Linked DNA regions of Struthio camelus. The protein of the gene in region 4 purifies or fractionates together with the protein of the main gene of each other region. This does not show direct contact. Links are inferred from orthologs where the notes say so. Each region holds a gene or a part of one and is shown on either strand. Other genes may lie near its edges.

Evidence for each region.
Region 1: the proteins of WDR5 (region 4) and RUVBL2 purify together in Homo sapiens (affinity purification with mass spectrometry; 3 studies listed by BioGRID and IntAct, with this or other methods). This does not show direct contact. The link is inferred for Struthio camelus from reciprocal best matches to the Homo sapiens genes WDR5 and RUVBL2.
Region 2: the proteins of WDR5 (region 4) and HDAC2 purify together in Homo sapiens (affinity purification with mass spectrometry; 7 studies listed by BioGRID and IntAct, with this or other methods). This does not show direct contact. The link is inferred for Struthio camelus from reciprocal best matches to the Homo sapiens genes WDR5 and HDAC2.
Region 3: the proteins of WDR5 (region 4) and HDAC1 purify together in Homo sapiens (affinity purification with mass spectrometry; 8 studies listed by BioGRID and IntAct, counting the BioPlex papers as one, with this or other methods). This does not show direct contact. The link is inferred for Struthio camelus from reciprocal best matches to the Homo sapiens genes WDR5 and HDAC1.

The regions. Positions count from the first base shown.
Region 1 is NW_027182627.1:50,397-58,207, forward strand, and holds the start of RUVBL2 (ruvB-like 2), read right to left. Parts: upstream 3,012-7,811; 5' UTR 2,924-3,011; coding exon 2,912-2,923; intron 1,884-2,911; coding exon 1,835-1,883; intron 1,545-1,834; coding exon 1,489-1,544; intron 503-1,488; coding exon 361-502; intron 1-360. UniProt on the Homo sapiens protein: Possesses single-stranded DNA-stimulated ATPase and ATP-dependent DNA helicase (5' to 3') activity; hexamerization is thought to be critical for ATP hydrolysis and adjacent subunits in the ring-like structure contribute to the ATPase activity.
Region 2 is NC_090944.1:63,043,021-63,050,033, reverse strand, and holds the start of HDAC2 (histone deacetylase 2), read left to right. Parts: upstream 1-4,011; 5' UTR 4,012-4,279; coding exon 4,280-4,331; intron 4,332-7,013. UniProt on the Homo sapiens protein: Histone deacetylase that catalyzes the deacetylation of lysine residues on the N-terminal part of the core histones (H2A, H2B, H3 and H4).
Region 3 is NC_090964.1:8,597,555-8,605,212, forward strand, and holds the start of HDAC1 (histone deacetylase 1), read left to right. Parts: upstream 1-4,649; 5' UTR 4,650-4,754; coding exon 4,755-4,803; intron 4,804-7,658. Other genes in the region: tyrosine-protein kinase Lck, read left to right, coding at 598-777, 1,699-1,775, 1,867-2,020, 2,215-2,346, 2,672-2,874. UniProt on the Homo sapiens protein: Histone deacetylase that catalyzes the deacetylation of lysine residues on the N-terminal part of the core histones (H2A, H2B, H3 and H4).
Region 4 is NC_090961.1:4,664,577-4,671,964, reverse strand, and holds the start of WDR5 (WD repeat-containing protein 5), read left to right. Parts: upstream 1-4,375; 5' UTR 4,376-4,594; intron 4,595-5,015; exon of another isoform or gene 5,016-5,402; intron 5,403-6,193; 5' UTR 6,194-6,304; coding exon 6,305-6,385; intron 6,386-7,277; coding exon 7,278-7,386; intron 7,387-7,388.

The DNA.
Region 1 (7,811 bases), on a different chromosome or scaffold from region 4:
GCCGAGCGCCTGCGTGGGGGGGTTGAGACACGCGTGTCAGCGCCGCGCACACGCGTGTGCGGGGGGGACGAAAACACCCGCGGGGGGGGCCGACACGCGTGGGCGAGCACGCGGCGCCCCCACGGGGACAGCCAGCGGCGGGGCCCAGCGCCTGCGCCGTGCGGGCAAGGGGGCGGGCACGCGTGTCAGCGCGGCGCACATGCGTGTGCAAGGGCCGACACGCGCGTGAAGGGGCCGACGCGCGCGTGTGCGGCCCCGTAGGGCACGGCGGGGCGCTCGGGCGCCTCCGGACAGCGCGCAGGCGTGCCGGCGCGGGGCACACGCGTGTCGGCGCGGCGCACACGCGTGTGCGGGCCCTACCCATGGCGATGGCGGTCTTGCCGGTGCCGGGCTGCCCGGCGATGAGCACGGCTCGGCCCGCGATCTTCCCCTCCTTGATCATCTCCAGGATGACGCCGGCCGCCCGGCGCGCCGCCAGCTGCCCCACCATGCCCTGCGACACCTTTGGGGGGGGGTCCGGGGGGGTGGGGGGTCGTGGGAGCGCCGACCACCCCCCAAAACCCCCCCCAAATCCACCCGGGACCCCCCCAGAACCTCCCTGACCCCCAAAACACCCCAAAACCACCCCCCGGCGCGCCGCCAGCTGCCCCACCATGCCCTGTGACACCTTTGGGGGGGGGTCCGGGGGGGTGGAGGGTCGTGGGAGCGCCGACCACCCCCCAAAACCCCCCCCCAAATCCACCCGGGACCCCCCCAGAACCTCTCTGACCCCCAAAACACCCCAAAACCACCCCCCGCGGCACGCCGCCCGCTGCCCCATCGTGGCCTGTGAGAGCTGGGGGGGGTGGGGACCCCCAAAATCCCCCCAGGACCCCCCACATCCACCCCAGGGCCCCCTAAAATGCCCCCCTGCACCCCCAAGTTGCTCTAAAACCTCCCCAAACCCACCCCAGGCTCCCCCCAGACCCCCAGGGAGCCCCCAAAAGCACCCCAGGACCCCCCCAAGGCACCCAGGGACCCCCCCAAAAGCACCTCAGGACCCCCCCCACCCCCCAAGGCACCCAGGGACCCCCCCAAAAGCACCCCAGGACCCCCCCAACCCCCCTCCAAAGCATCCAGGGACCCCCTAGAAGTGTCCAGGACCCCCCTGAGCCCCCCCCAAAACCCCCAGGGACCCCCTAAAACCACACCTGGCTCCCTCTAAGACCCCCCCAAACCATCCCAGGGCCCCCCAGGACCCTCAGGGCCCACCCACGACCGCCGGAGACCCCCCAAAACCAGTCCAGGCCCCCCCCCAAAAGCCTCCCCAAACCACCCCAGGATCCTCCTGCCCCCCCTAAGACCCCCAGAGCCCCGCCCCGGCACCTCTAAGACCCCCAGGGACCCCCAAAACCCACCCAAGGCTCCCCCGAGCCCCCCCCAAACCCCTAGAGCCCCCCCCAACACCCCAAATCCCTGGACACCCCCCCCAGACCCCTCCCCCGGTACCTGCCGGGGCTCCAGCGCGTCGTCCAGGCCCAGGCCGCGGATGTGGGAGTGGGCGCCTGTGGGGTGGGGGGGTGGGGATTTGGGGGAGGCCCGGACCCCTCCCCCCGGGTGGGGGTCTGCCCCCCCCCCAAGGATTTGCTCCCCCTCACAGTAGGGATTTCCCCCCACGCTGTGATTTCTGCCCCTCCCAGGGAGATCCCCCCCCCATAGGGGTATTTACCCGTCTTCAAGGCTCGGGTTTCCCCCCCCCCATAGCAGCGTTTTGACCCCCCCGGGGGGGCTTTTGCCCCCGCCACGTGGGGATTTGCCCCCTCCCCGGGGATTTGCCCCCCCCCCCGGCGCTCACCGATGCGCTCGATCCGCGTCACATCCCGCACCTCGGGCACCTTCGTCGTCTGGGGGGGTCGGGGGGGGTCAGAACCCCCCCCAACCCCAGATCTCCCCCCCCGGATCTGCCCCCAGACCCCCCCCAATCCCTTGCTGCCCCCCTCCATGGTCCCTCGTATCCCCTCAGCCCCCCCCGAGCCCCCCAGATCCCCCCTCCCCTCCTGCCCCCCTCAGACCCCCCTGAGCCCCCCCAGACCCCTCCATTTCTTCCAGCCCCCCATCCCCTCCTGCCTCCCCAGACCCCCCCAGACCCCCTATCTCCTCCAGACCCCCATCCCCTCCTGCCCCCTCAGAACCCCCTGAGCCCCCCAGACCCCCCTGGACCCCCCATCTCCTCCAGCCCCCCCAGGCCCCCCAGAGCCCCCATCTCTTCCTGCCCCCCCGAGCCCCCCAGACCCCTCTGAGCCCCCCCAGACCCCCCCATCCCCTCCTGCCCCCCAGAACCCCCTGAGCCCCCCAGACCCCCCATCTCCTCCAGACCCCCCCCGGGCCCCCCATCCCCTCCTGTCCCCCTGGACCCCTCAGACCCCTCTGAGCCCCCCAGACCCCCCTGGACCCCCCATCTCCTCCTGCCCCCCCCGAGCCCCCCAGACCCCCCTGGACCCCCCATCTCCTCCTGCCCCCCCCGAGCCCCCCAGACCCCCCTGGACCCCCCATCCCCTCCTGCCCCCCTGGACCCCTCAGATCCCTCTGAGCCCCCCCAGACCCCCCTGGACCCCCCATCCCCTCCTGCCCCCCTGGACCCCTCAGACCCCTCTGAGCCCCCCCAGACCCCCCTGGACCCCCCATCTCCTCCTGCCCCCCCCCGAGCCCCCCAGACCCCCCTGGACCCCCCATCTCCTCCAGCCCCCCAGGCCCCCCATCTCCTCCTGCCCCCCCCCCGAGCCCCCCAGACCCCCCTGGACCCCCCATCTCCTCCAGCCCCCCCAGGCCCCCCATCTCCTCCTGCCCCCCCGAGCCCCCCAGACCCCCCCATCCCCTCATTCCTCCCCCCCCCCGGGCCCCCCTCAGCCCCCCGGGCCGGGCCGGGCCGCACCGCCGTTGCCATGGCGCCGCCCGCTCCCGCTCCCGCGCTCGCGCTCGCCTCGCGTTCGCCCGGCGGAAGTGACGCGCGGGGGGGGAAGGGGAAGTGGGGAAAGGGACCGCTCCGGCCGCGCCGCTCGATGGTGCGCGGTCCTCCAGCCCCGCCGGGGGGGCTGCCCCATGGGCTGCCCCGTAGCCTGCCCCATAACCCGCCCCATAGCCCAACCTGCCCCATAACCCGCCCCATAGCCTGTGCTATAACCTACCCCATAGCTCAGCCTGCCCCATAGCCCACTCCATAATCCGGCCTGCCCCATAACCTGCCCCATGACCTGCCCCACAGCACAGCCTGACCCATAACCCGCCCCATAACCTGCCCTATAAGCTACCCCATAGCCCAGCCTGCCCCATAGCCTGCCCCATAACCCGACCTACCCCATAACCTGCCCCACAGCCTAACCTGCCCCATAGCCTGCCCTATAACCCGGCCTGCCCCATAACCTGCCCCATGACCTGCCCCACAGCACAGCCTGACCCATAACCTGCCCTATAAGCTACCCCATAGCCTAGCCTGCCCCATAGCCTGTCCCATAACCCGACCTGCCCCATAGCGTGCCCCATAGCCTGCCCCATAACCTGCCCCATAACCTGGCCTGCCCCATGACCTGTCCCATAGCCCAACCTGACCCATAGCCTGCCCCATAACCTGCCCCACAGCCTAACCTGCCCCATAGCCTGCCCTATAACCCAGCCTGCCCCATAACCTGCCCCATGACCTGCCCTGCCCCATAAACTGCCCCATAGCCCACCCCACAGCCCAGCCTGTCCCATAACTTGCCCCATGACCTGCCCCATAGCCCACCCCATAGCCCAGCCTGCCCCATAACCTGCCCCCTAACCTCTCTCATAACCTGACCTGCTTCATGACCTGCCCCATGACCTACCTCGTAGCCCCGCCTGCCCCATAGCCCAGCCTGCCCCACCGCCCGCCCCCCAACCTGCCCCGTGGCCTACCCCACAACTCAGCCTGCCCCCCCCCCCAACCTGCCCCACCGCCCGCCCCGCGGTGGGCCCCACCTCGACCCGCCCCGCCGCCGTTTCCCCTTTAAGGCGCGCCCCCCCTCCTTCCCGCACGTGGGGGGGGGGAAAAAAAACCCGCCGCCTGTCCATCACCCGCCGGCGCAGCCAATCAGCGTCGGGGAGGGCCGGGCCGGAGGGAGGGAGGGGCGGGGCCTCGCGGCGACGGCGGGCGGGAGGGGTCATTCCTCGCTGAGCTGCGGGAGCGCGAAGGAGGTGAGCGGGACGGAGGGGGGAGGGGGAGAGAGAGGGGGGCCCCCCCCAACCGGGACCCCCCCCAAAAGTCCAGGTGGAGGGGGGGGTCCCACTGAGCCCCCCCCAGGGCCCCATTAACCCCCCCCAGGGCCGGCCCCCCCCCCCAAAAAAAGTCACTTTTTGGGGGGGGGGGAACCCCTGGAGTCTTCCATGGGGCGGGGAAGGGGGGGGCCGGGGGGGTCGCAGGGGTGGGGGGGGACCCCGGGGGTGGGGGGGGCTGGAGGGGGGACTCGATGGGGGGGGCGACTGGGGGGCGGTTCCGGGATCTGGGGGGGGGCCGTGGGGGGGGGCTCTATAGGGGGCCTGCGGGGGGGGTTATGGTGGGGGGGGCCTATAGGGGGCAATGGGGGGGTCCATGGGTTGGGGGGGCTCTATAGGGCGGCTGGGGGGGGCTATGGGGGTGTTGGGGGGCTCTATAGGGCGGCTGGGGGGGGGCTATGGGTGGAAGGGCCTATAGGGGGTCACTGGGGGGGCCCATCATGGGTTGGGGGGGCCTATAGGGGGCTGGAGGGGCTATGGGTGGGGGGGCCTATAGGGGCTATGGGGGGGCCCATGGGTGGAGGGGGCCCTATAGGGGGCCTGGGGGGGCTATGGGTGGGGGGCCCTATAGGGGGCAATGGGGGAGGCCCATGGGTTGGGGGGGCCCTATAGGGGGCTGGGGGGGGCTTGAGAGGGGAAATGGGGGGGCTCTATGGGGGGGCTCTATGGGGGGGTGGGGGGGGCCCTGGGAGGAGCCTGAGAAGGGAAATGGGGGGGGGATATGGTTGGGGGGCCTATAGGGCCCCTGAGGGGGGCAATGGGGGGGGCCAAGGGTTGTGGAGACCCTATAGGGGGTCTGGGGGGGGCCTATGAGTGGGGGGGACATGAGGGAGCAATGGGGGGGGCTCTATGGATTGGGGGGCCCTATAGGGGGCCTGGGGGGGCCCACTAGTTTTGGGGGGAACTATATGTGCGGGGGGCCCTGAGGGGACAATTGGGGGGGGGTCCTGGCCCTGGGAGGGGCCCCCCATGGGTGGGGGGGGCTGGGGGGGTCCCTATGGGTGGGGGAGATCTCTGAGGGGGGGCTGTGCCCGGGGGGGACCCCTATGGGGGCACTTGGGGGGGGTCCTAAGGTGGGGGAGGGTCCCCAGGTGTTGGGGGGGGCCTATGGGTGGGGGGCTCCATGGGTGGGGGGTACAGTTTCAGGATGTCCCCACGTGACCCCGTTTTGGGGGGATTTCCCTCGTTTCCAGCTGCCCCCGGGACCCCTGGGGGCGGGGGGGAGATGCTCCCGTTTCGGGGTGCCCCCCCCGTGGTGGTTTTGGGGCGGTTTCCCCATTTTTTGTGCCCCCCCGTGACAATTTGGGGGGTTTCCCCTGCTTTCAGAGTGCCGCCGTGCCCCCAATCGGGGGCGGGGGCATTTCGGGGCACCCCCGGGACGGTTTGGGGCCGATTCCCCCGTTTTTGGGGCACCCCGGTGACGTTTTGGGGACATTTCCCCCCTTTTCAGTCTCCCCCAGGGTCATTTTGGGGCATTTCCCTATTATTATTGCTCCTTTTTGGTAACGTTTTTGGGGTTTTTACCCCATTTGAAGCCCCTGATGGCATTTTTGGGCTGTTTCTCCCCATTTTTGCTCCCCACTGGGGACGTTTTGGGGGCGTTTCTCCTATTCTCAGCCCCCCAGTGCCATTTTGGGGCCATTTCCCCCATTTTTGGCCCCCCACCGGTGACACTTTGGGGGCATTTCCCCTATTTCAGGGCACCCCGGTGCCATTTTGGGGGTAATTTCCCTGCTTTTGGGGTCCCGGGTGACACTTTGGGGGCACTTCCCCTATTTTCAGCCCCCCCCAGTGCCGTTTTGGGGACGTTTCTCTTATTTTCGTCCTCCCAGCGACGTTTTGGGGGCGTTTGTTCCACTTTCAGGCCCCTCAGTGACATATTGGGGGGGTGTTTCCCTTGTTTTTGGGCACTTCAATGCTATTTTGGGGGTAACTTCCCTGTTTTGGGGGTGTCTGGCGCCATTTTGGGGCCATTTCCCGCATTTTCAGCCCCCTCCGTGCCATTTTGGGGGTAACTTCCCTGTTTTTGGGGTGTCCGGTGCCATTTTGGGGCCATTCCCCCCATTTTCAGCCCCCTCAGTGCCATTTTGGGGGTAATTTCCCTGCTTTTGGGGTGTCCGGCGCCATTTTGGGGCCATTTCCCGCATTTTCAGCCCCCTCGGTGCCATTTTGGGGGTAATTTCCCTGCTTTGGGGCTGCCTGGTGACATTTAGGGGACAGTTCCCCCCTTTCCGCCTCCCTCCGGGACATTTTGGGGCTGTTCTGCCCGTTTTGGGGTGCCCCCGTGCCCCTGGCAAGGGGGGTGCTGGTTTTGCCCCCACCCCGGTGACGTTTTGGGGCCGTTTCGGCCGTTTTGGGGCGCAGGCCATGCCGCTGGCCCGCAGCGTCTCGGTGAGCTCCCTGCCGGGGCTGGAGGACTGGGCCACCGGCGAGAGCCTCGACAACGTCGTCCTCTTCGAGGTGGCCTGGGAGGTGGCCAATAAGGGTGAGTGGGGCCCGCCCGGACGCCGGGGCCCCTCCTCGCGCCGGGACAGGGGGGCGGCAGCACCGGGGGTTGGCGTGACCTTGGGGTGGGCAGGAGCACCCCGGGGTTGGCGTGACCACCACGAGGTTGGCGTGACCACCACGGGGTTGGCGTGAACACCATGGGGTTGGCGTGACCACCATGGGGTTGGCGTGAGCCATGGGGTTGGTGTGACCACGAGGTTGGCGTGACCACTGTGGGGTTGACGTGACTCTGGGATTGGCGCGACCGCCGTGGGGTTGGCGCGACCGCCGTGGGGTTGGCGCGACCGCCGTGGGGTTGGCGCGAGCCGTGGGGTTGGCGTGACTCTGGGGTTGGCGTGAGCACTGTGGGGTTGACATGAGCTATGAGGTTGACCCAAGGTATGGGGTTGGTATGACCCTGGGGTTGACGGGACTGACATTGGCGTGGGTGCTATGGGGTTGGCACGAACACCGTGAGGTTGACATGAGGAGCCTGGGGTTGGCGTGACCCCCATGGGGTTGACGCGAGCCCTGGGGTTGCGTGACCACCGTGAGGTTGGTGTGAGCCACGCGGTTGGCGTGAGCATGGGGTTGGCGCGAGCACCCTGGGGTTGACGTGACCACCGTGGGGTTGGCGTGACCACCATGGGGTTGACGTGACCGCTGTGGGGTTGGCACAACTGCCGTGGGGTTGGCATGGCCACCATGGGGTTGACGTGACCACCACGGGGTTGGCGTGGCTGACATGGGGTGGGCGCGAATGTGGGGTTGGCGCAACCGCTGTGGAGTTGGCATGACCTTGGGGTTGGTATGACCAGGACTTGACATGAAAACCATGGGATGGACACGAGCCGTGGGGTTGGCCCGACCCTGGGGTTGGGGTGACCACTGCGGGGTTGGCGTGACCACTGCGGGGTTGGCGTGAGCACCATGGGGTTGACATGACCCTGGGGTTGGTGTGACCACCGTGGGGTTGGCATGACCTTGGGGTTGGTGCAACTGCTGCGGGGTTGACGTGACCACCGTGGGGTTGACGTGACCACCGTGGGGTTGGC
Region 2 (7,013 bases), on a different chromosome or scaffold from region 4:
ATGCTTCCTTTTCAGGAAAGCAACCCCAAAGCCCTGTTAGGTCACACGCTTTCTGGAACTCCGCTAAGGTCTGCTGAACACCTAACGGAAAGTTCTTTTTTTTTTTTTTTATTAATTGTCTTTTGTGCCATAAAGAGATTGTTAGCACTACTGGACAAAGGGCTAGGTCAATACCACAAGAAGTCAATACTACTTTTACTTATATTTATGTATATGTGATTACAAGTTTGTGGCTGTGAATGTTGCTAAGAGGTAACACCTGAAGAGACTTATTTTCCACTGATAAAAGGGGGGAAAGGGAGCAGGAGTGGTTTGTGTGATAAAAAGTTTTTGTTCCTTAATGTAGCTAATTGTACAAGGGATGATTTTATGTGGAGGTTAACCAAGGAAAAGGTTTTGTACGTAGTACCTTTAGGTTAAATTAGTTTCATTTTTCAGTGTGAACAGCCTGGTTTGAGGTGGGTTAAGAGGTGGTTGTTTGTTTTTCTGCTTGATACCATGAGGGCTCTCTAATTTTTGGGTTAGTAATTTTTCTTGCTATTGGAAGGAAAGAAATTTTATACTGATAATTTTTTTGTTTGTTTGTTTAACTTGATTATTGAGCTAATTATTGAGTTCTGCTGAAGTGAACTGAAGTAGTTGTATATAGATTAGCGTCTGTGTGTGGGATTTTGCAGTTTAGGCAGTAAGATAGTTAATAGCTAGCTTTCTAGCTGTATGCTTCTGCTTCTAGAGTACATGAGGGGAGGGAAAGAAGGTGATCTGGTCGTGATGTCTGTGGTATATGACCTATGCTATTTCTTTCACTGTTCCTCCTTTCCTAACTCTCTCCTCCCTAGCAGCTGCTAAAGGTGCTCTATTTATGCCTATGTTCTAAAATACCTTAGTCTTCTTGGCTATTACTATAGCGCACCTGTGGATTTGAGAATGCTGTCCTGACTGCTTTTTGATGATGGAAAAACAAAAGTTTAAATTTCCACCTTTTGTGACTCTCTCCTTCCCTGTTTACATAAGCATTCACTGAGCTTTCATAGTGGATGTGCTTTATGAGAAATATGTTTAAGTAGTTATACTTTATATTGTGAAAGCTGCTGCAAATGCTGAAGCTGAAAGCTATTATTTGATTTAAAACCTCCTAGCTCCTTTTTTCCATGTTGTTTACTATACGAGTACTGTGTGATGGAACAGCCTAAAGCTGGTATAGTAACAAAAAAATGGTGAAAGCTGAAAACTGTCTAACAGTAAAAACAACTAATTATAGATTGCATAAAAATATCTTCATTTTGTTGTAAATCCATGTCTATCCATAGTTAGATAGTCAAATAGAGTATTGATCTCTTTCACTAATGTTTTGCTATATACTTCTCTGCCTCAAAACCAGCGTGGGATTCTAGCAGCTGAAGTTCATGTGCACTTACTACGGGGAGTGATTACTCCTGAGTTTCTTCTGTGTCATTTACTTTTATGTAGCATGGTGGTCATGCTGTTTCCTTAGCAAATTATTTTGAATTTGCCTGGAGAACTTGCATTTCCAGAAGTGAGACTGGGCTAAATCATTATCCTTGTACACACACACTTGAAACTTAATATTTAAGCTTTTCTGACCTGTTGAATCTAACTGTGTCTCTAGTGTAAAACTGAGTTATTACAACTTAATTAACTAATTCTCATCTCAGGTTAAAGGGCAACTTTGTAAGCTTGTCTGCACTTGCCTCATTCACATGCGAGTTGTGTTTCTAGGAACTTTTCTAAATGAAATTATATATATCTTACTAACAAATTCAAACATTAGAAGAGTATATGTAGTCATTTTTACTATGAAAGCAAGTGGCTTCTTTTGACTTAGCTAATGTCACTGGTTTAAATTAAACCAAAATAAGCTGTTTCTGTATCAGGTTGAGCACCCACTCAACTGAAACTAATTTATGTAACATTAATTAAGAACCTTTTCTTTATACAAAGCCCCTAAGGAGCCCCTTTTACTTGCACAGTGCAAGCAACACATTCCTCATATTGAGCCAGGTGACATATGCTATTATATTCTTGAACACAAATGCTTCTCTGGCAACTACAAAACCAAGTAGTTGACTACTGGCATTCTGTATGCTTGTGGAAAGAGTATGTTAATAGTTAATATTAGGTAACCAAGAGTGCACGGAGCTTCTGCTGTCCGGTCTAATTCTGTTCAAACAGTGATTGTACTAAGCAGGCTAAGGCTAGAAGAAAATTACTGGTGAGTGAACAGTATCATGCCTTGTGGGTCCTAATGTCATGCAGGTATTTTGCTGTAGTCTGTAGCAAGAAGTCAGCTGCATGACAAACTATAAGAATTTTTTTTATGCTACTCCTAAGAGTAAAAAATTCCAAATAAAATATGGCAAATGCTTTCTACATATGCTACAACACTTGGCTACATAACTGAGTAGTCTCCTTCCCTTATAACGCTAAGGGAGGGGGGGAAAAAAACCAATAACCCATTTTTACTTCAGTGTGTCCTAAGTTTATCTTCAATGTGTGTTGTATGTGTACATGTAATTAGCATAAGTGTACTTTACAGCTGTCTCTATAGAGAACCAACTTATCACCCAAGAGGACCTAACTTTGTGCTAGATATCTCTAGGGGTGAAAATAACCTGATTCTGGAAGCAGAGATCTAACTTTGGTTTGGACATGTACTAGTTTTGGTAAGTGATACTGATAAAGGGCAGGTATTTACATAATCTGATATAAAGGTGCATATGAATCTGTGTTTACAGATACTCCTAGGATCTTTGATAAATCAAGAAACCTTGGTTAAGACTTCTAAAACTAATGCAAGTCCCTAAAGCTAGGATATGAGATTTTTCATATTGGCTGAATAATCTTCTGTAACTATGTTGATGACTGAATATACACCCTCAGGCTTTGATACACGGGACCTCAAACTCCAAGAGCTGTGAAGCCTTGAATTGTTGCCAATACAAAAATGCTGTAGTTATTGGCTAAGCCTAAATGTTACCAGCTTAATCATTTATTTCTTCCTCCTGGATGTGTAACCAAACCTCAAGGCAGAGAAAATTGCTGGTAGGTCTCAAATTGAAACTTGATCCGGATGTCAAGCCTCATATATAAAACCCCAAGTACTTTGATCTTGTAGCGTGCTTTCCTTCTGGAAAAAGGAATTGCTATGCACATTGTAAAGTATGCTTTGAACTCCTCCTAAAACAGGGACGCGTGTTTTACTGGGCAACAATAATGTCAATACGGTATGTGCCTCCAAGAGCGCTCTTAGTTGCAGCTAGACACAGACCTACCTGTTGTCCTGTGTGCTATGATTTGTGTGAAGGAAGGTGTGTGCTGAGCTATTTTAAAAGTGTAAAGAGGTGAGGTTTTTCAGTGCTTTCAGTATTTAAAATAAAAAAAAAAAAAAAAAACAGTATGTAACGCTAGGTCCGGAGAATCAGAACTGCTTTTGGTGGGAGAACAGACAAAGAGGGTAGGAAGTGAAAAGGGGGATGGGTGCGAGAAGCCCGAGAGGCCGAGTATTTGCACGCGGCCCGTACTCCCGCTCAGGGGAGAAGGGCCCTGAGGCAGGGGCCGGCAGCGCGCCCGTAACGGCCGGGGGGGGGGGAGGGGGGCCGCGCGCGCTCGGGGCAGGCCCGGGCGGGACCCTGCCCCACTGCCCCGGGTGGGGGGGGGGGTGGCCTGAGGGGAGTTGGAGTAACCTATTCCCGCGCTGAGGCGAGGAGCAGCCCGCTTTTTTTCGGGCACGGGCAGTGAGGTCTCCCGCCCCGACCCCGCTCCCGCGTCGCCATGCGATGCACAGCGCAGGCGGCGCTGAAGAGGGGGCGTCACCCCGCGCATGCGCCGTCTCCCTCCTTCGAGCCGGCGGACCGTACCACTGCACGGGGCTGGCGTAGGGGTGCGCATGCCAGGCGCCGCCTCGAACGTCTCGCTTGTGAGGGCTCACCGGTGCCTGCTACTGCGTTCCGGCCTACATGATTGAGTGACAGCCGTAGGGATGAGTAGAGGAGAGCCCACGCTCACTTGCGCCCGCCCTCTCCGCCTACCTTTCTCTTGCCCTCCCCCGGGGCCCGCGGATTGGGCGCGCCCGTGTTGCCGCGCCTCCCCACCCCTTGGTCGCGTCCGCTCGCGCTGCCTGTGCCCCGGCGTCGCGCGTTCCCGCTCTGTCGCGTCCGCCTCCGCCCGCCCCCTCCCTCCCTTCCCCGCCGGCTCGGCGCTTGCCTCGGCCTCCCGCGCCCTCCCCCTTCCCCCGGCTCAGCCCCGGCGCGGCGGCCCCATGGCGTACAGTCAGGGCGGCGGCAAGAAGAAAGTCTGCTACTACTATGACGGTGAGCGCGGGAGTGCGGGTGGGGGAAGCCCCTCTAACCGCCGCCGGGGGCGGCCTCCTCCCTCCTCCCCCCCCCCCCCCCCACCGCCCGGTCGAGGTGCCCCGTGGGCACCGCGGTGCGCAGCGCCGGCCGGTCCCCGCCGCCATCCACCTGCAGGGCCGGAGCGGCGCGGGGAAAGGCGACCTGGAGCCGCACAGGGTGCTGGTGGGGAGGCTGCCCGGCTTGCGGCGGAGCCGGGGGCCCGGCGGAGAATGCTGTGTTTATTGTTACCGCTTCCCTCCCCCCCCCCCCAAAAAAAAAAAAGAAAAAGAAAAAAAAGTTGATACACTCTCCTCCATCCGCTATCCGTGAAGACGTTGGAGTCGCTGCCGTGTCTGGCTCCTCCCCTGCCAAAAGTCTAGGCCATGTGTAGGTTCGGCACCTGGTGATCCTTGCAGCTGAGGCCTTTCGTCCAGTTTGTATAGAGGCTTTCTGTCTGTGGAGGGGACAGGCGTATTCTTCCCAACCCCCCTCCCCCCAGGACATGCATGAAGAGTGTAAATTTGGCTTTCATGAACCTCTGCTCTAGCAAAACACCGAAGTCGCATGTATGTTTAGTAATGGGGAAACTGGATTTTTTTGTAGGCCTTCTTAAGTTTGTGCACTCGCCTGGTGAGAATGTAGTGACTTGTGATTTGCCTTGTCAGTCACATCTAAGAAGTACATAAAGCTCACGCTTTAGTTTCTGGTATTTGCAGCAACTTGCTTGTGGTTCTTTCTGGCCACAACAGAGAAAACTTTTCTATTTTTTTTTTTTTCCAGGGCTTGGGTTTGGTTTTATTTTTGGTACTGGGAGGGTAAACTGGTCAGATTAGTTACCAATTTCATTTTTAAGATTTCCTCCTGTCATGGGAATCCCTTAAGTTGTGTGTGCAGTAGTCAGGAAACAGAGGTTGAGGCTGCTTTGCTTGTGATGTGTTTTCATCGTTTGGGAAACGGAGAAGAATGGCTAAACCAAGCAAGATATCAAAGGTGTCTGTTGCTGTAGCAAATCTGCCGCTGTTCAGAAATGGCAGATCTTGTGGGGCCTGTCTAGTTTTTTTTTTCTTCTTTTTCTTTTTTTTAACTACACTAAAGGAGGCAGAGTGGTTGTTGCCGCCCCCTTCTCTTTGTTGCTAGCTCTCGTTCTTTGTTCAGCCTAAAGGGGAAAGGAGGCCCCAGTTAGGGAGAATTTTGGTGAAGCTGGGATCTTACTTGTGCCAGGGAAGAGGGCTTGCTTTTTTGCATTATTGAAAGAAAGATTACATTGATAGTTTGCAAGCTTTCTCCCTGCAAATGATTGCATGTTTGTTTTTTATCAATATACATTTTTTTTAATGTCAGGTAATTGTAGTTCACTAGATAGCTGTATCTCCAGTTTTGCGGTGATGCCTTGATTTTGATACTCGGCGCTAGTGTCAACCTCTGTTAACTGAGACCCTAAACAGCCATAAAACTACACTAGTGAAGAGGCAAGAGAAAGTGGGGAAGGGAGAAGTTTTGAGGTGGCAGGACAATGGTGACTTCTAAGTAGTTGTAATTAATACCTTGCGAGTTGTAATTAATACCTTGCAGTAGACTACAATAAAAGCAGTCACTAATAAGCTAGGGAAAGGAATATCTGTAGTAAGAATGATTTAGAAAATGCTTGCTCTGTAACAGAGAAATTAACAGCATTGGAATGTTTATAATGCCTTTTTTATTTCCTGACAAAGCCAATAGTTGTATTTCTTTCTACAGTGTTCACTTGGAGATAGTTATTAGAAAGAAGTTTAGACCTAATACCTCTGGTAAATGTTTCTACTGCTAATTTGTGGCTCATGTGATAATCTTGAGTACTTTCTGTTGTGTTCTACCAGCAAAGTCTTGAATCAAAGTGCGGGGAGTGTTTAAAGCCTTAAATAACCCAAAAACAAATGTACAATTTGTATCTTTGTACTTTTAGATCATGGTGGTGTATGTCTAAGAATGTCATAATTGAAATAAATGACCATTTTCTTTTTTGTCATAGCTGTCCCTTGGTGCAGACTTTCACCCTGTTTCTTCAAAAGGATTCAGCAAGAAGTATTGAAAAGTACTGAAAGTATATATATGTTTAATGTGAGAGGCAATAAATTGCCTTATGTGCTTTTTGTGGTAACTCAGAGTGGTTGTCATCTAAAGTTAGTTGTTCAAATTGGCTAATCACTTATCAGGTCTTCTCCGTGTGTACTGCAGTTAACATTTGCTGATTATTAACAGTTTTCATAGCCTTTGCTTTGTACTCAGAACCAATAAACTTACGGTAGAAGGAACTTGATTTCCCTTTCTTTAGTTTGTAATAGATTGGTCACCCACATCCACTTTGCAGAATTTCTGTTGTTGGTGATCGCTTTCCAGTAAGGGATTTTATTTAAACTTGAGCCAATATACAATGAGAAGAACTAAAGACATGCACGTTAAGATATTTTAGTTCTCTCATTTAAGAGCTTTTGAATAAATGTTTCTGATCATCTTTATATGTATGGTCATCTCTTAGGGATGTGTGTTGCTCCCACTGCAAAGAACTGTGCTAGATGTGAAAGGATATTGAAGCTTTTATTTTAGCCTCTTACCATGTGTCTTCAGTTTGTTCCTATGGTCTCCCAGTATGTGATTCAGGTAGTTCTGTGGACCCTTCCAAAA
Region 3 (7,658 bases), on a different chromosome or scaffold from region 4:
GGCGCCGCGGCAGAGGGGAGGCTGCAGCTGCCGGGCTCCGCGCCGCCCCGGCCGCAGGGCTCCCTGCCTTCGCTCCCACGGGGGCCGCAGCCCCCGAAGGCCCCCTGCGGATGCCCAGCAGGAGCCAGGCTGGGGTGGCTTTGCTACCCTAGCTTGGCTCCCCTACTTGTCCCTGCTGGGAGCTTGCATCTTTGGTGAGTTAAAAGCCCAGTGCCAGCAGCAGCTTCTCCTCTTGCTGGCTAAAAGCCACATGTAAAATCTCTGCCTGCTGGCTCAAAATGCAGCTGGGGGTGAGCCCTAGCTGGCCTTCGTGGTCCCCAGTGTCTCTGGGACGGCGGGGCTTTAGCCAGTCCTTGCAGTCTCCATCATCTCTGGGATGACGGGACATAGCCGCCCTTTGCGATTCCCAGCATCTCTCGCTCGAGCGGTTTCGGGCTCGAAACCCGAATCCCCGAGCTGGGATGCTCCAGCTGGACAGGCAGGCGCCCACCCGTGATTACCGCCTGGGAGCCCCGTGCTGGCGCCCGGCCCCTCCCGGCCCTGCCCCGCCGCGGGGGTCCCTCTGCCCCCGTCACGCGCCGCCCCCTCTCTCCGCAGGCTTCTACAACGGCCACACCAAGGTGGCCGTCAAAAGCCTGAAGCAGGGCAGCATGTCGCCCAGCGCCTTCCTGGCGGAGGCCAACCTCATGAAGAACCTGCAGCACTCGCGGCTGGTGCGGCTCTACGCGGTGGTGACGAAGGAGCCCATCTACATCATCACCGAGTACATGGAGAAAGGTGGGGGGGGGGTGCAGGAGCCGCCGGCTGCTGCCCGGCACGGTGCTGTGCAAACGGGTGAGGCGGGGGCGCCGGGGGTGTCTGCGCCGTGCCGAGCCCCGTGGCCAGCGAGGAAGCGTGCCGTGGCGGTTCGCTCGGGCTCTGGCCGCCGCGTCCCCCGGGGCCGGCGGGATGGGGTGCGTCCCTGCCCGCTCCCCGCAGGGACGGGGCGGTGGGCACGCGCCGGGAGGTGGCCAGGGTTTGGGAGGTGCCGGGGCGCTTCCCTGTCCCATCCCTGTCCCCAGCGAGCGCAGAGCGGGAAGCCCCAGCCCGGCTCCCCGCTCGCGCCTGCCCGCGGTGGCTGCTGCGGCCGGGGCCGCCTTTCGCCTCCTCGCGCTGATAAAAGCCCGGCCAACGGAGCACGGCCCTCCGGCCCGCCGGGAGCGGATCCGGCGCCGGCGTTATTCCTGGCAGCGGGCAGGACCTTGCGGACGCGGCGCTCTCCCGTCCCCGCCGCTCCCCGCCTGCCTTTCCGGGCGCTGCGAGCTTCCCAGCAGTGGTGCGGCCGAGGCCAGGGCCCGAGGGCAAGGACAGGCTCCTCGCCGGGTCCAGGGCGTCCTCCGGGAGCTGGCAGTCCTCCCGGAGGAAACGCGCCGGATCTGCCGTGCGCGGCTGTGACAAAGGGTCTCGAGCCGGAGGCTGCCAGCCCGGGGCCATCCGGCCCGTCCCCAGCCCTGCATCGCAGCAAGGACCCCCGGGCTGCGGGACGGCCGCAGCTCCTCGCTCCCCGGGCACGGGGCGTTCCCAGCGCCAGGCTCCGCGGCGGCGGGGGACCACGCCGCACGGCGCGGGGACGGCGCGGCTGCTGGCACCTTCACCCCGGCGCGCAGCCCCAGCGGCTGCCGGCGAGGCTGCCGCTGAGACCTGCCGGCTTCGTTGCAGGCAGCCTGGTGGATTTCCTCAAGACCTCGGAAGGAGTCAAGCTGACCATCAACAAACTGCTGGACATGGCCGCGCAGGTGAGGGGGGGACGGCGCCGCCGGGGCTGGGCTGGGAGCTGCCCCGCTCCGGCTGCCGACCTGAACCCCTCGCGATTGCTGCGCACCGCAGATCGCCGAAGGCATGGCCTTCATCGAGGCCAAGAACTACATCCACCGCGACCTGCGGGCCGCCAACATCCTCGTCTCGGAGACCCTGTGCTGCAAAATCGCCGACTTCGGGCTGGCCCGCCTCATCGAGGACAACGAGTACACGGCTCGCGAGGGTGCGTCGGCCGCGGCAGAGCCCCCGGGCCGCGGCGGCGGCGGCACCCGCCTGCCGCCCAGCCCCGCTTTCGGCGGGATCGCAGCCCTATCTGGCGGCGAGCGCGGGAACGGGCCGGGGGCCGTCACCCCTGGCTGCGCAGGGGGGCTGTTCCCAGCTCAGCCGTAACGTTTTCTCCTCCCCTCTCTGTCTCAGGGGCTAAATTCCCCATTAAGTGGACGGCGCCGGAGGCTATTAATTACGGGACGTTCACTATTAAGTCGGACGTCTGGTCCTTCGGCATCCTGCTGACGGAGATCATCACCTACGGCCGGATCCCGTATCCAGGTCAGGATTTCCCGGCAGCTGCGGCACTCCGCAGCGGGGCTGGGGCTGGGGCGCACGCGCGCGCCCGGCGTGTACATGCACTGCCGCACGCACGCACGCTCGCTCCCGCGCCGCCCCGTCTGGCTCGCTCCCCTTCCCCTCGCCAGCCCGCGACGGTTTTGACCTCTTTCCAACGCACGTTGCCAGCCCCAAAGACATCGGGGGGTTCAGACACGGTTTTGGGGGGGGGGGGGAGGAAGCTTTCCCTGGGATTTGCAAATATAAGGTGCCGCCTGGGACGTGCTGGGGCGACCCAAATCCAGTGGCACACGCGCTGCCCTCCCAGGGATGACGAACCCGGAGGTGATACAGAACCTGGAGCGCGGCTACCGCATGCCGCAGCCGGACAACTGCCCGCAGGAGCTGTACGAACTGATGAGGCAGTGCTGGAAGGAGCGGCCCGAGGACCGGCCCACCTTCGAGTACATGAAGAGCGTGCTGGAGGACTTCTTCACGGCCACCGAGGGCCAGTACCAGCAGCAGCCGTGAGGGACCCGCGCAGCGGCCTCCGCGGGTGCTCCCCGTCCGCTGGGTCCCCACGCATCACCCCGGGCATTTGCAAACACGGGCCGGACCTCACCGCTCTCGCAGGCAACAGTAAAGACTTGATGCGTTTCTGGAGCAGCGGATTTTTTTCCCCCCAGAAGAAGAGGGACAAGCTGACACACGACTCCTCCAGGCAGGCGGCAGAGGCGAGGACCGCCGGGCTGGGCGGCTCGAGCAGAGCGCGTGCGGGACTCCGGCCGCCGCGCACCCCCGTGCCCGCGACACGGTCCCCGCACTCGCCCCGGTGCCGATGCAACCTCCACCCGGCACCGCGCGGCTCCTCCCGAGGCTGCCTGCGAGCCGAGCTGCCCCCGGCCCGGGCAGGCGCGGAAAATACGCTGTGCACTTTCACATCCACCGCCCCGGACCTCGCCTCCGCGTTTACCCCAAGGCTGAAGGCAGGTCCCCATTGCAGCTGCAGGAGCCGCCGTGCGGGCGGCTGTCCCGGAGAGCCCCGTAGCCGTCCCGGCCCCACGCCGGAGCCCTCCGGGCAGTGCTTGTGCGCAGCGGCGGCGGTCGGCAGCATACCCGCGCCGAAGGGGTTCGCACGGCTCTGCCAGGCATTTGGGGACACGGCACCCCTGCCCTCCCCGCGGCCCCTCCAAGCAGCCGGGCTCCCTGGGGCGATGCCGCAGAGGTGAAACCTCGTCTGCCGGAGCCGGGGTCCCTCCAAGCCTTTCTGCTGCATGGCTGCGCCCTGGCAGGCACCCTGCATGCACCCGGTCCCCAACTCCTCTGGATTTGGTCTAGCAGGAGGAGGGAGCAGTGGACGGAGCAGAGAGCAGGGATCCAGACCCCGGAGGGCCGGAGAGGGGCAGGGGGAGCTGCACGGAGGCGAGGGCCGGAGCCGGGAAGGTTTCCCGGTTCCTGCAGCCCCGGGGACTCCGCGTGCTTCCATCGAAGGCACTTCCAGCAGAAACTCTCCCCGTTTAGGAAAGGGCCATCCGGACGGACCAGACGCTGGCTGTAGGATCCCCTTTCTCCCCACGTTTTTAATCGCAAGACTAAAAATCCTACTGCTGTCTTATTTTGGGGAAATAAAGGCCTTTGAACCACAGCTGGCTCCTGCCCCTGGAGGCAGCTGCGGGGAGAGGGAGGCCAGCGGAGGATGGCCGGGGGGGAGGTGGGCGCAGGGGACCCTCGGGGACCGGCACCTCGCGCTGCTTGTCTCACCCCCAGCCCTGGGGTGCTGGGGGGGGACGTGAGGCCCTACTTGTGCCATCCCTATCCCCTTTGGCCTCCTCACACCCCCCTCAGCCCCCTTTGGCCCTCTCTGGCCCCTTCATGTCCTCCCAGCCCTCTTTGGCCCCCTTTGGCTCCCTCATGCCCCCCACCAGCCCCCTTTGGCCCTCTCTGGCCCCCTCACTCCCGCCCCAGGCAGGCCCTGCCTGAGGCCTGGCCCCCGACGCCCCCCCCCTCCGCCCTAGGAATGGTCCAGTCCCACCTGGCGCTCCCCCTCCTCGCGAATGGTTCCGCCCCACCCACCTGGATCCCCCTCCCCGTTAGCCTGACGACGATCTCCCCCCCACTCTCCGGTGATGGTACAGTCCTATCCCGTCCCCCCCCACTCGGCCTCGCCTCCGCCGGCAATGGTACGATCCAAGCACCCTGGCGCTCGACCTAGCCTGCTAGCTCCCCCGCGCCCGCTCTCACTCGCCGCCGGGACTTTCTATTGGTCGGCTGGAGATAGGGGGCAGGAAGCCCCTCCCCGATTGGCGGGCTGCCCAGCGGGGGCGGGGGCACGGGGAGGCGGTGGGGCGACTGGCCCCGGGGCGGGTTCGGTTGCGCGGCGGTAGGGTCTGTCGCTGTCGGGAGGCAGGAAAATGGCGCTCACGCAGGGGACCAAGCGGAAAGTCTGTTATTACTACGACGGTGAGGGGCTGCGGGGCGCCTCCGGGGGCCGCTGCGGGGCAGCGCCGCGCCGGGGGGGGGCGGCGGCGGGCGGAAGCCTGACGGGCCGTCGGGGGGGGGGGAGGGGAGGTGGCGCGGGGGAGGGGGTAATGGGGTACTGGGGACTTGGGGGGCTGAATTGGGGAGAATGGGGGACCTGGGGGCTGCAGTGGGGGATGGGCAATGGAGGCCGTGGGGGCCTGGGGGCTGCAGTGGGGGATGGGTAATGGGAGCTGTGGGGGGCCGTGGGGGGCTGGGAGTTGCAGTGGGGGATGGGTAATGGGGGCTGTGGGGGCCTGGGGGCTGCAGTGGGGGATGGGTAATGGGGGCTGTGGGGGGCCGTGGGGGGCTGGGAGTTGCAGTGGGGGATGGGTAATGGGGGCTGTGGGGGGCCGTGGGGGGCTGGGAGCTGCAGTGGGGGATGGGCAATGGGGGCTGTGGGGGGTCGTAGGGGCCTGGGGGCTGCAGTGGGGGATGGGTAATGGGGGCTGTGGGGGGCCGTGGGGGGCTGGGAGTTGCAGTGGGGGATGGGTAATGGGGGCCCTGGGGGAGGTGGGGCATAGGGGACTGCAGTGGGGGATGAGTAATGGGGCCCCTGGGGGCCGTGGGGGGCTGGGAGCTGCAGTGGGGGATGGGTAATGGGGGCTGTGGGGGGCCGTGGGGGGCTGGGAGCTGCAGTGGGGGATGGGCAATGGGGGCTGTGGGGGGTCGTAGGGGCCTGGGGGCTGCAGTGGGGGATGGGTAATGGGGCCCCTGGGGGCCGTGGGGGGCTGGGAGCTGCAGTGGGGGATGGGCAATGGGGGCTGTGGGGGGTCGTAGGGGCCTGGGGGCTGCAGTGGGGGATGGGTAATGGGGGCTGTGGGGGGCCGTGGGGGGCTGGGAGTTGCAGTGGGGGATGGGTAATGGGGGCCCTGGGGGAGGTGGGGCATAGGGGACTGCAGTGGGGGATGAGTAATGGGGCCCCTGGGGGCCGTGGGGGGCTGGGAGCTGCAGTGGGGGATGGGTAATGGGGGCCCTGGGGGAGGTGGGGCATAGGAGACTGCAGTGGGGGATGGGTAATGGTAGCCCTGGGGGCTGCAGTGGGGAATAGAGAGATGGGTAATGGAGGCATGAGGGTTGTGGAGAATGGGTAGTGGGGACATGGGGGGCTGGGAGTTGTACTAGGGGGATGGATAATGGGGGGACTTAGGGAGCTGGAGGCTGCACTGGGGCGTGGGTGGGGTGGTGGGGGACACTGAGAGACATATAAGGGATGGGGACTTCACTAGGGGATGGGGCGCAGGGGTTAAGGCATGGATCGGGGTAGGATGTATGGGGAACTGCAGTGAGGGGAGGCGCAGGGGAGAGTGGAAGGCAGGAGAAGGGTTGGGGAAGACTGAGGGTCACAGGAAGGATGTGGAAAGCGTGGCAGGGGTGTAGGGAGTGCTGGGGAGCCTGCAAGGGATGTAGGGTGCATGGCAGGGGGGTAGGGAGCAGTAGGGAGCCTCCAAGGGAGTGGGGTTCATGAGAGGGATATGGGGAAACACTGGAGGGTGGAAGGGAAGGATATGGGGCAAGGGAAAGATAGGGAGCAGCACTGGTGGAAAGTTGGAGGAGGTTGGTGGAATAACTTGGGGAGGAATGGAAAACTTGGAGGTGGGGTGGAAATAGGAAAGGCTCTGAAGGGGCCAAGATGGGGGAGAAGGGCAAGGGGCTGAGAGAGGCTCTGGGAGCTATGCCAAGATACTGAGGAAGGTTTATGGGGGGATGGGGAGCACTCAGGGAGATGCTGGGGGGGGGAGGAAAGGGTTAAGAGCCTCCGTGAGCCATGGTAAGCAGAACAGACGCTCCTGAAGCTCCATTTGGATCACTATCAAGCAAGGGACAAAAATGAAGACATTGGCAACCAGACCAATTGCATGGCTATTTCTAGGGAGTTCCTGTGTCTAGGAGTATTGTTTAATTCTGGCTCTAAACTTGGCTGGATTGTAGACTGTGTTTTTGCTTTGCTTTGTTTTCCTTTTACAAGGATAGGGAAACACTGCTTTTTGGCTATATATTTGGGGTAGCAAAGTAATAGGGTATAAGAGCTGGCCAGATCTCAGCCAAGGTAACTTGTGTAGCTTCCTCACTCTTCCCCTATAGTCTGTGAAAGAAATCACAGTTGCGTTGTCTCTGTGCATGTTCACAGCTGCCTCTCCTTTAGCAGAGGGAGTCTGTGCACGTTCACAGCTGCCTTGTCTCTGTGCACGTTCGCAACTGCCCCCCCCCTTTGGAGGGGGGAACTGGTGTTTCGGTAGTGGGTGAGCTGAGTTTTACTGTAGTCTGTGATCACTCTATGTGAAAGGTATTGTGCAAGTCTCCTCTATTTCATCATGGTTTTTAGTCTCTGAAGTCAAATAAAAACTACTTCTCCATGGTTTTTTTCTGTGGTAAGTGGATGTGCTCAGTGTTCGTTAAGGCCATAAAGTGAGCTCGCTTAAACTGCTTTATATGTCGGGCATATAGCGAGGGCATTTGCTTTTTCAGAAAAGCAAATCTGAGTGATAGATTTTTAACCTGTAATGATAGCTGCACCAGGTCTCTGACTCAGCCAGAGTCTCCAGGGGAGTGTGACGAGGAAGAGTCTGAATTAGGACTCTCGGTGCAGTGAAACAGTGAGCCTGATTTTTCTGGACCGTCCTTTTCATTCCCAGTGCTGCGTACAACTGATCTCTATGCAATACCCAGCAGATCAAAATACAGTGGGGTACTGGTGCCGCGGGCCCTAAAATGCCGACTTTAAACTTGAAGAATAGTTGCAGGAAGTATCAGAATACTGTACATGCGCAAGTGGCCAGGGCGTTGAAAGAAAACTG
Region 4 (7,388 bases):
TGGCCACGGGGGTGAGATTTTGGAAGGAATGTGTTTTATGAATTTGTCAGATCACTCAGAATCTATTCACGACAGTATAGTGAGATTGAAGGAGAGCATAGCGAAGTTGAGGTTAGATGACAATGATTGGCTGGGACGAGTATTCTCAGGATGGGGGATCACAGGGTGGTTATTAACTATTGTGAAGAGTGGCTTGATTGTATTGTTGATAATCTTAGTCTGTTTGTGCCTGTTTCCCTGTCTTCTACAATGCGTGCAACGAATGATAGATCGCGCCTTCAATCAACAAGCGTATGCAGTTTTGTTAAAACAAAAAGGGGGAGATGTCGGGGGCGATGTGTACCAGAAGACGATTAGGAGCAGCAACAAAGCATTCCCTCAGTGCCAGAAGCCCTGGGAAAGTGTGCATAATATGAAGACTTGTGTCAGTGCCAAGACGGGCAGGTGCCCGTGAGCTATCAGAATGCAGATATTGAAACTAGGACAAGGACGTGAGAGAGGGAAGATAATCTTAATGCAGAACGTGGCTTGTAGTAACGTAGCAAAGCAACTTTAGTCAGTAAACACAGCCGTATTCTTACACAATAAGGGTCCGGTATATAAGAGAGGACGAAATATGAAATAAATAATCTTGCTTCACCATACGCAAGGTTTGTGCCTTCAGTCCCTGCACTGAAGTATTGCAGGAGAGAAGAAAAGGACCTGCCAAAGGAATCTGAGAAGTGAAGAGAAACCACTCACTCGATATGGCTATGTAGCCTTTGCCACAGTAAATACGTTTATTTGGTTAGATGTGTCTAAATGGTTTTGTTATACGTTCAGTGTGGTGCGAATATGCAGCACCTGCTGTTAACAGTGGTTTGCACAGGTAAGCAAGCTTTTGAATAGCGTGTGCTACTGAGCTGGCAGTTTAAACTGACAGATACCAGAACATGCTAGGTTTCAGCTGGCCAAATCCCTAATGGATTCCTGTGTATTTTCTTCCTTTTCATCCCGCCCTCTTACAAAGACTGGAGAGAATGGTAAAGAGGTGCTCTAATCTAATAATAACAGTTCTAAACTTTTCCATTTCTCAATGACAATGAGTAATAATAATACTTAGATTTCGTTAAAACTGTCTCAGGACAGGGATATGAGCTAGTTGTATCGAACTGTCCATTCATCTGCATTGCAACCATTTGCACCAGCCAGGCACAAAGTTCCTGATTCACAGAAGTGCTGAGAACCTGCTGCTCCAGTTGAAGTGGCTGGGAGAGGCAGGCTGTCATCACGTCTGGCAGTCAGATCACGTGTGATTCCGTCTAAGGCTCTCAAATCAGCAGCCTTTTTGCATTAAGTTGGCTGAGATTGGGGAGACTCTGTACAGAATGATACATTACAGCACTGTGCTGGACCCTAATCCTGCATGAAGTCCTAGCTTCTCCTACACAAACGCAGACCGCTTCATAACAGGAATTTTACTGAGATGGAGCTCTATACATGCCATGTTCAATGATCTTATTTCAAAAGAAGTTCTTCAGCTTCCATAAGTTCCTGTGCCCAGGCTGAGGGTTTGTACGTATCCATCCCTGGGCAAAATGGATCAAATCCTACCTACTTTCCACTGAGGTAAGGTTTCCTAGTTTTCAATGAACAAATGTTGGCACTGATGCAAGCAAGGTTCATACTGCAGTGGGGGAGGTAGAAATATCAGCCTGGAAAACATTCAGTGTTTGTTTTTAAATCCCAGGAGAAACATATGAACGTGATGTATCTGGGATTTAGAACAAACAGAGCAGCATATTAGCAACCACACAGAAACAGCTACATGTCAGGGATCAGTTGCTCTTTAAAAGTATAAAAGATGCAGCAGGTCTCTTTCACGATTTCTTGTTCCTACTGTTTCTTCAACAGTGTGTAACACACAGTCTGTCCGTCCTGCGCTTTCCGTTTGCTGTACGAGTGGCCCAAGCAAATAAAAACCCTAACTGAGACTGCTAATTGTGCCAAAGCCTAAATATGGGCTAATGCAGCTTGTAAGCTTAGTGCCTTATTACTTACCGTCACAAACGTAAGCATGTGCTTGTTTGTAGCAGACAAGTCTAAAAAGCAGATCCAGCATGTGCTGAAGTTAGTGGGAGCTTTTCCACAAATATTAACATCATTTGGATGAGATCTGCAGGACTGGATTGATTCTGCTCTCAGTGGAACCTGTGACAAAATTTATTACATTAGCAACAGCAGGACCCTTGGCCCCAGCTTAGTTCCTGACACCCTTAAAGCCACCTGAAGGGATCTCAGCGGCACTGACAGCAGTCACTCTCGTATGCTCTGAGCCATTTACGGAAAGACTTTTCTTTCCCTTTCACCATTATGGGAAGCTGCTCCCTTCCAAAAACTCTCAGACAGGTGTCTTTTCCAGTGTACTTGGCAGGTCACCACGTTCAGGCTATTTTGAACCAAATGGAATGAAAGATTTTGCAAGAGAGCAGCCTGCCAAGCCCCACTCTTTTACAGAGAGGGAATTTGGACAGATAGCACATCCTGCTGATCACAGCTGCGGCAGCACAGCCTGATCAGAGCAAGAAGGATCCTCATGGATGACTCATAACCAACAAGTTAAGCTTCATCCCAAGACAATGGGCTGTCCTTTGGATCTCTGAGTATTCACTCATGTTATTCAGTCCTGATGAAATGCCCTTGCTCGCTGCATTTCCTTTCTCTGCATGAGCCATGCTGTCAAAAATCCAGTCCAGCATGTGTGCAAATACTTAGCCAAACTCTGCTTAAAATCATTCAAATGTGTTAATAACAAAAACAGGATTCAGAAGCCAAGGGGTTGTTTAGAATAATTGTTACTATGTTACTGGGGTTATCATTTTTGAGTTCCAGAGATATATTATTCACTATAGATAAGGATATAGATATAAATATATATATGCACATATGTATAAAATAATAGGCAAGGGCTTCCAAAGCAGGCAGTGGCACAATACAGACAAACTTTAACCAGCATGAAAGAAACAAAACACTCTATTCCTATCACAAGAAAGCTGAACAAATAAATAGCATTATCATGCTGATTTGTGTACTCTCCTGTGCCTTCTCCCTCACCCCCCCCCCCCATTTTTTTTTTTCAAACAACAAAACTTCGGGCCAAATCCATCTGGAAGAAGGACTGACTGAAACTCAGCTTGATTCATTTCCTAATACGGTTCTGGGGACAGCACAGCTCTTACATCTCTGTGTTCTCCTCCCTGCGTTTGGATGGCAGGGTTAATTCTCCAGACTTCCGCTTGGGTTTCCAGGCTGAAGGAGATGGGCCTTGGCTTCGCTGCACCGCAGCTTTTTTCAGCTTTTTCCTTTCTCAACTGCCACTAGAATTTTTGGAGCCCAAAGATCTTCCTGTGTTAAAGGGCCAGTAAGTGACACGTGTCTCTTGCTTTTTTTTCCTCTTAACTAAAAGCAGACCGTACTGCGTCCTGTGCAGCCTAGAGCTGTGGTTCAGGAGGAAAAAAAAAAAAAAAGAAAACATTACTCTCCAGAAAAGTGGTTAAACAGGCGCTTAACTTTAAGTAGGTTGTTTGGCCGTAATGAATCAGTTATATGCTTTTCTGAGTCTGGGCCCTTGTACACCGAGGACTGGCTTAGATGTACTCATACCCAGTCAAATATTGTGGTATTGAATGGCTCACACATCACCTTTACGCATTACATGCGTTAGTGTCGAGCCTGATGGATCAGCATCCAGCCTTTTCATTACCAGTTCTTATCCGCAGCACTGCAGCATATTTTCAGCAGTGCTGTTTTGCATATTATGACCCCCAAAACATCCAGCCCTGCTGTGGCCGGGCTGAATTACTTTTTTTTTTTTTTTTTTTGTCATTCAGCACAGGCCGAGGCAGAGGGCTCCGTCCCCGACCGCCAGCCCCTAGAGCGCTCCCTGTTACGAGGGGAAGCCGCCCAGGGCCGAGCGCGAGGTGATGGGGGGGGGTACGTCCCGTTAACCTGGGCCAGCACGGGGTGGATTATCAGCACCCCTCCCGCCACCCCTTCCCTCTCCGCTGAGCCCAGCAGCACCGCCGGTTCCCGGCCGACACCGCCAGGCAGGCCCCTGCGCGCCTCGCAGGCCTCGGCCGCCCTGCGCCCTCGAGGCCGGCTGCCCGCCTGGCCGCCCCGGAGCTGCGGCTGCAGCTTGCAGGCCTCTTCCTCGGCGGAGGGAGGGCAGGGCACATCCTTCCTTCTCTCTAGCCGCTGCTGTTCAACCCTAGAGAGAAAAAGGCGAGTGGAAGGCGCGGCAAGGGGGAAAGGGAGAAGTGAAGCAGGCGCCTGCGCCTTTAAGGCGTTGCCAGCTCCCCCCCCCCCCCCCAAACCTCCCCGCTTGCTGCTTTTTGACTCTTCGGCCTTGCCGTAGCGCTCCCGGGAGAGAGCGGCATTGTGCAGCCTTTGGCCCGGACCGCGCATGCGCCATCCCACATTCCCCCGCCTGGCGGCTCCGGAGCTGCCGCCGCCGCCGCGTCCCCCCCTCCCCTCCCGCGGCCGCGCTGCCCCCCCCCGCCCCGCCGCGGAGGAGGCGGCGGCGCCGCCATCTCCCCCGCCCCTTCCCCCTCCCCCGGTAAGTCACTGAGAGGCAGCAGCAGCAGCGGCGGCGGGGCGGGATGGGATGGGATGGGGTGGGGTGGAATGGGGGGGCCGGAGCGGAGCTCCCCCCTCCCCCCCCTCCACACACACACCCTCCCTCCCACCCTCACGCGCGCGCGGCGCTGCCGCCGCCGCCGCCTCCCCTCAGGCAGCGCGCGGCGCCCCCTCCCCCCCCTTCCCTTTCCCGCCCGTCGCGGGGGGCGGCGGGAGCGGCGCGGGGCGGGCGCGGCGGCGGCGGCTCTGCGACCTCCTTCCCCCCCCCGCACCGCGGAGCTGGCGGCGCCGCCGCCAAAGTTTGGGCTCCCGGCGGAGAACTTCCCCCGGCGCGGGCGGGCAGGGGCGTCTGCCGGCGGCCGTGGCGCGGGCGGGCGGGCGGGTGTCGGTGCCGCGTGCGCGGCGGCGGCTGGCGGGGGCCGGGCTGCGCGGGGCGATGCCGTCGCGGCCCCCCGGCAGCCGGCGGCGCCTTGGCAGGGCGGGTGCGCGCTCGCGGGAGCTGCCGGATTAGTTCCAGATGAAAAAGATCTGACCTGGGTTAGGAAAGTTTTCATTTCTTATTCTTGCCGTCTGTCCGCGCCGCGGAGAGGGCTTGTAAGAGCCGGCAGGCAACCGGTAGCGCTTAGCTCTGTGCCCTCCCGAGGACGAGGTGCTTATCATGCCGCTGGTCGCTGGAAGAGCAAATGCTGTTGCGCCCAAATCTGCTGCCACCAGCAGAAAAGAGCGGTAGCAGTAGCGGGATGTTGCAAACGTACTTTAAAGACAAATCCTTGGCGTGTGAGCTGGAGGTGAGTCTGTTACTAAGCTGAAATCTGGCGGAGCTGCAGCGGAGATCGTTCCCTCTGCAGTATCAGCGCCGATTACAGAATACCAGCACAGCGCTTTACCAGGTTTTGTTACAGAAAGCAAGTCTGTTGCGACTAATACAAGGCTGGCTCTTAGTCAGGTGAAAGACTCAGGAAAAGAAGAGCGTGATTTGGTGCTCTGACCGTTTAGGGGAGAAACATGAGACTGGAATACTTGAATTACAAGATGAAAGGAACCTAGCAAGATTTTAAGCTTTGGAGATGCCTGTTACTTTCTTCTTTGTATTATGATTTTGTGTTCTGTGTCTTGATACATCTGAAAAAAGGCCTCGGACGGATCTTTCCACCTTCTGCGCAAACCATTGTCTATGGTTTTAAACTATGCTATTAAAGTACTTCTCATAGGCATATTGGGGAGTATTATAGGAAAAACCTTGCCACACCTAAAAGCTATTCTGCTTTATTTCTAATTAACAGGGCAGTGTAAAACAGCTTTCCAAGAAGTGATTAAAGGCCACAGATTGGGTTCTTGATCTTGCACTTTAATAGATCTGACCGCATGAAATAAATGTTGCTATGTTGGTGATGTGATGTTTCCTTAAGTCTGCTTGCAGGATTCAGTTCTCTGGATAAAAGATCCATAGTGCGTGTTTTTCTTGTTTTGTTTTGTCTTTTAACACTGGTTTCTGGGGACCTGCAGTTATGCTCATCTCATTCTTCTAGTTGCTGACAATCTTTCTTTGACAGCTAATGATACTTTGTTTTTCTTCCAGGTTTTCATTTCCAGTGTGATTTCTCCTCTCTGTGGCAAAGGCTGTCTTTTGAAGCAGCACATTCATTCTCCCCTTCAAGCACCATAAGTCTCATTTGCCAGCTTCAGAACCATGGCAACAGAAGAAAAGAAGCCAGATGCAGAATCCACCAAAACACAATCTACTCCTTCCTCCTCAACCAATCAGAGCAAGGTGTGTGTGGGCCTCTGAACAATATCTTTGTAAATACGCATGGAAACTGTCTACATATTCAAAAGGCAAACTAGAATTAGAGATTTTTAAGAAATTGAATTCTGATAGGAATTAAGAACTTGGGATTTCTGCTACTGCTGTTGAACTGAAAATGTGCTAACGATTTTATGGGAAAGCAGATGAAGTACAACCTCTTTTGTGCTAGGGTATCTTTGTTTCTTCAAGTTCATGCAGAGGAAATACTTTTTGTCCCTTTCAGCATTAGAAATCTAAGGTGTTGGAAGGCCTAGACGTTACTGGAGAATAGGTGAATTTACCGTCTTAGTTGCAGGGTGGAGAAGCAGTCATTGTTTGAGGCCTGTGGATGTTGAAGGGAGTTGTCACTGTTTAACCGCAAAAACTGTGCAAATGGTGAGAAGGGAGAATGTTTGGGGTTTTGGGAATGTGGAAGAATTGGTTTGTGATATGATTCACAAAAAGTTAAAGGACTACAAATATTTAATAGCACTAAGTGTTTTATTTTAATCTGTCAGGCGGTCTGTGATTGGACTGTTGGATTACTCTCGCCTATTTATTATTGGTTTGGATGTAATTCATACCAAAGATGAGTTTGTTGTTGTGCATGTGCAGTGAGGCACTGCTTGCTCCAGGCATCAAGATTTTTGTCTGAATTTGGAGAGGGGAAAATGTAAACAGTAGAATCTATTATGGTGACTATTCATGCAGTCTGATACTGTGTAGTGACCTGGTCTAATACAGAACTTGTCATTGAGATATTCAGTTTGGTATTTATACGACTCATTCATGTATGTATGTGTGTGTCTGTGTGTGTGTGTGTATATATATATATATATATATATATATATATATATATTTTTTTTTTTTTTTACAGCCTGCACCAGTAAAACCAAACTATGCTCTAAAGTTCACGTTAGCAGGACATACAAAGGCAGTCTCGTCAGTAAAATTTAGTCCTAATGGAGAGTGGCTAGCCAGCTCTTGT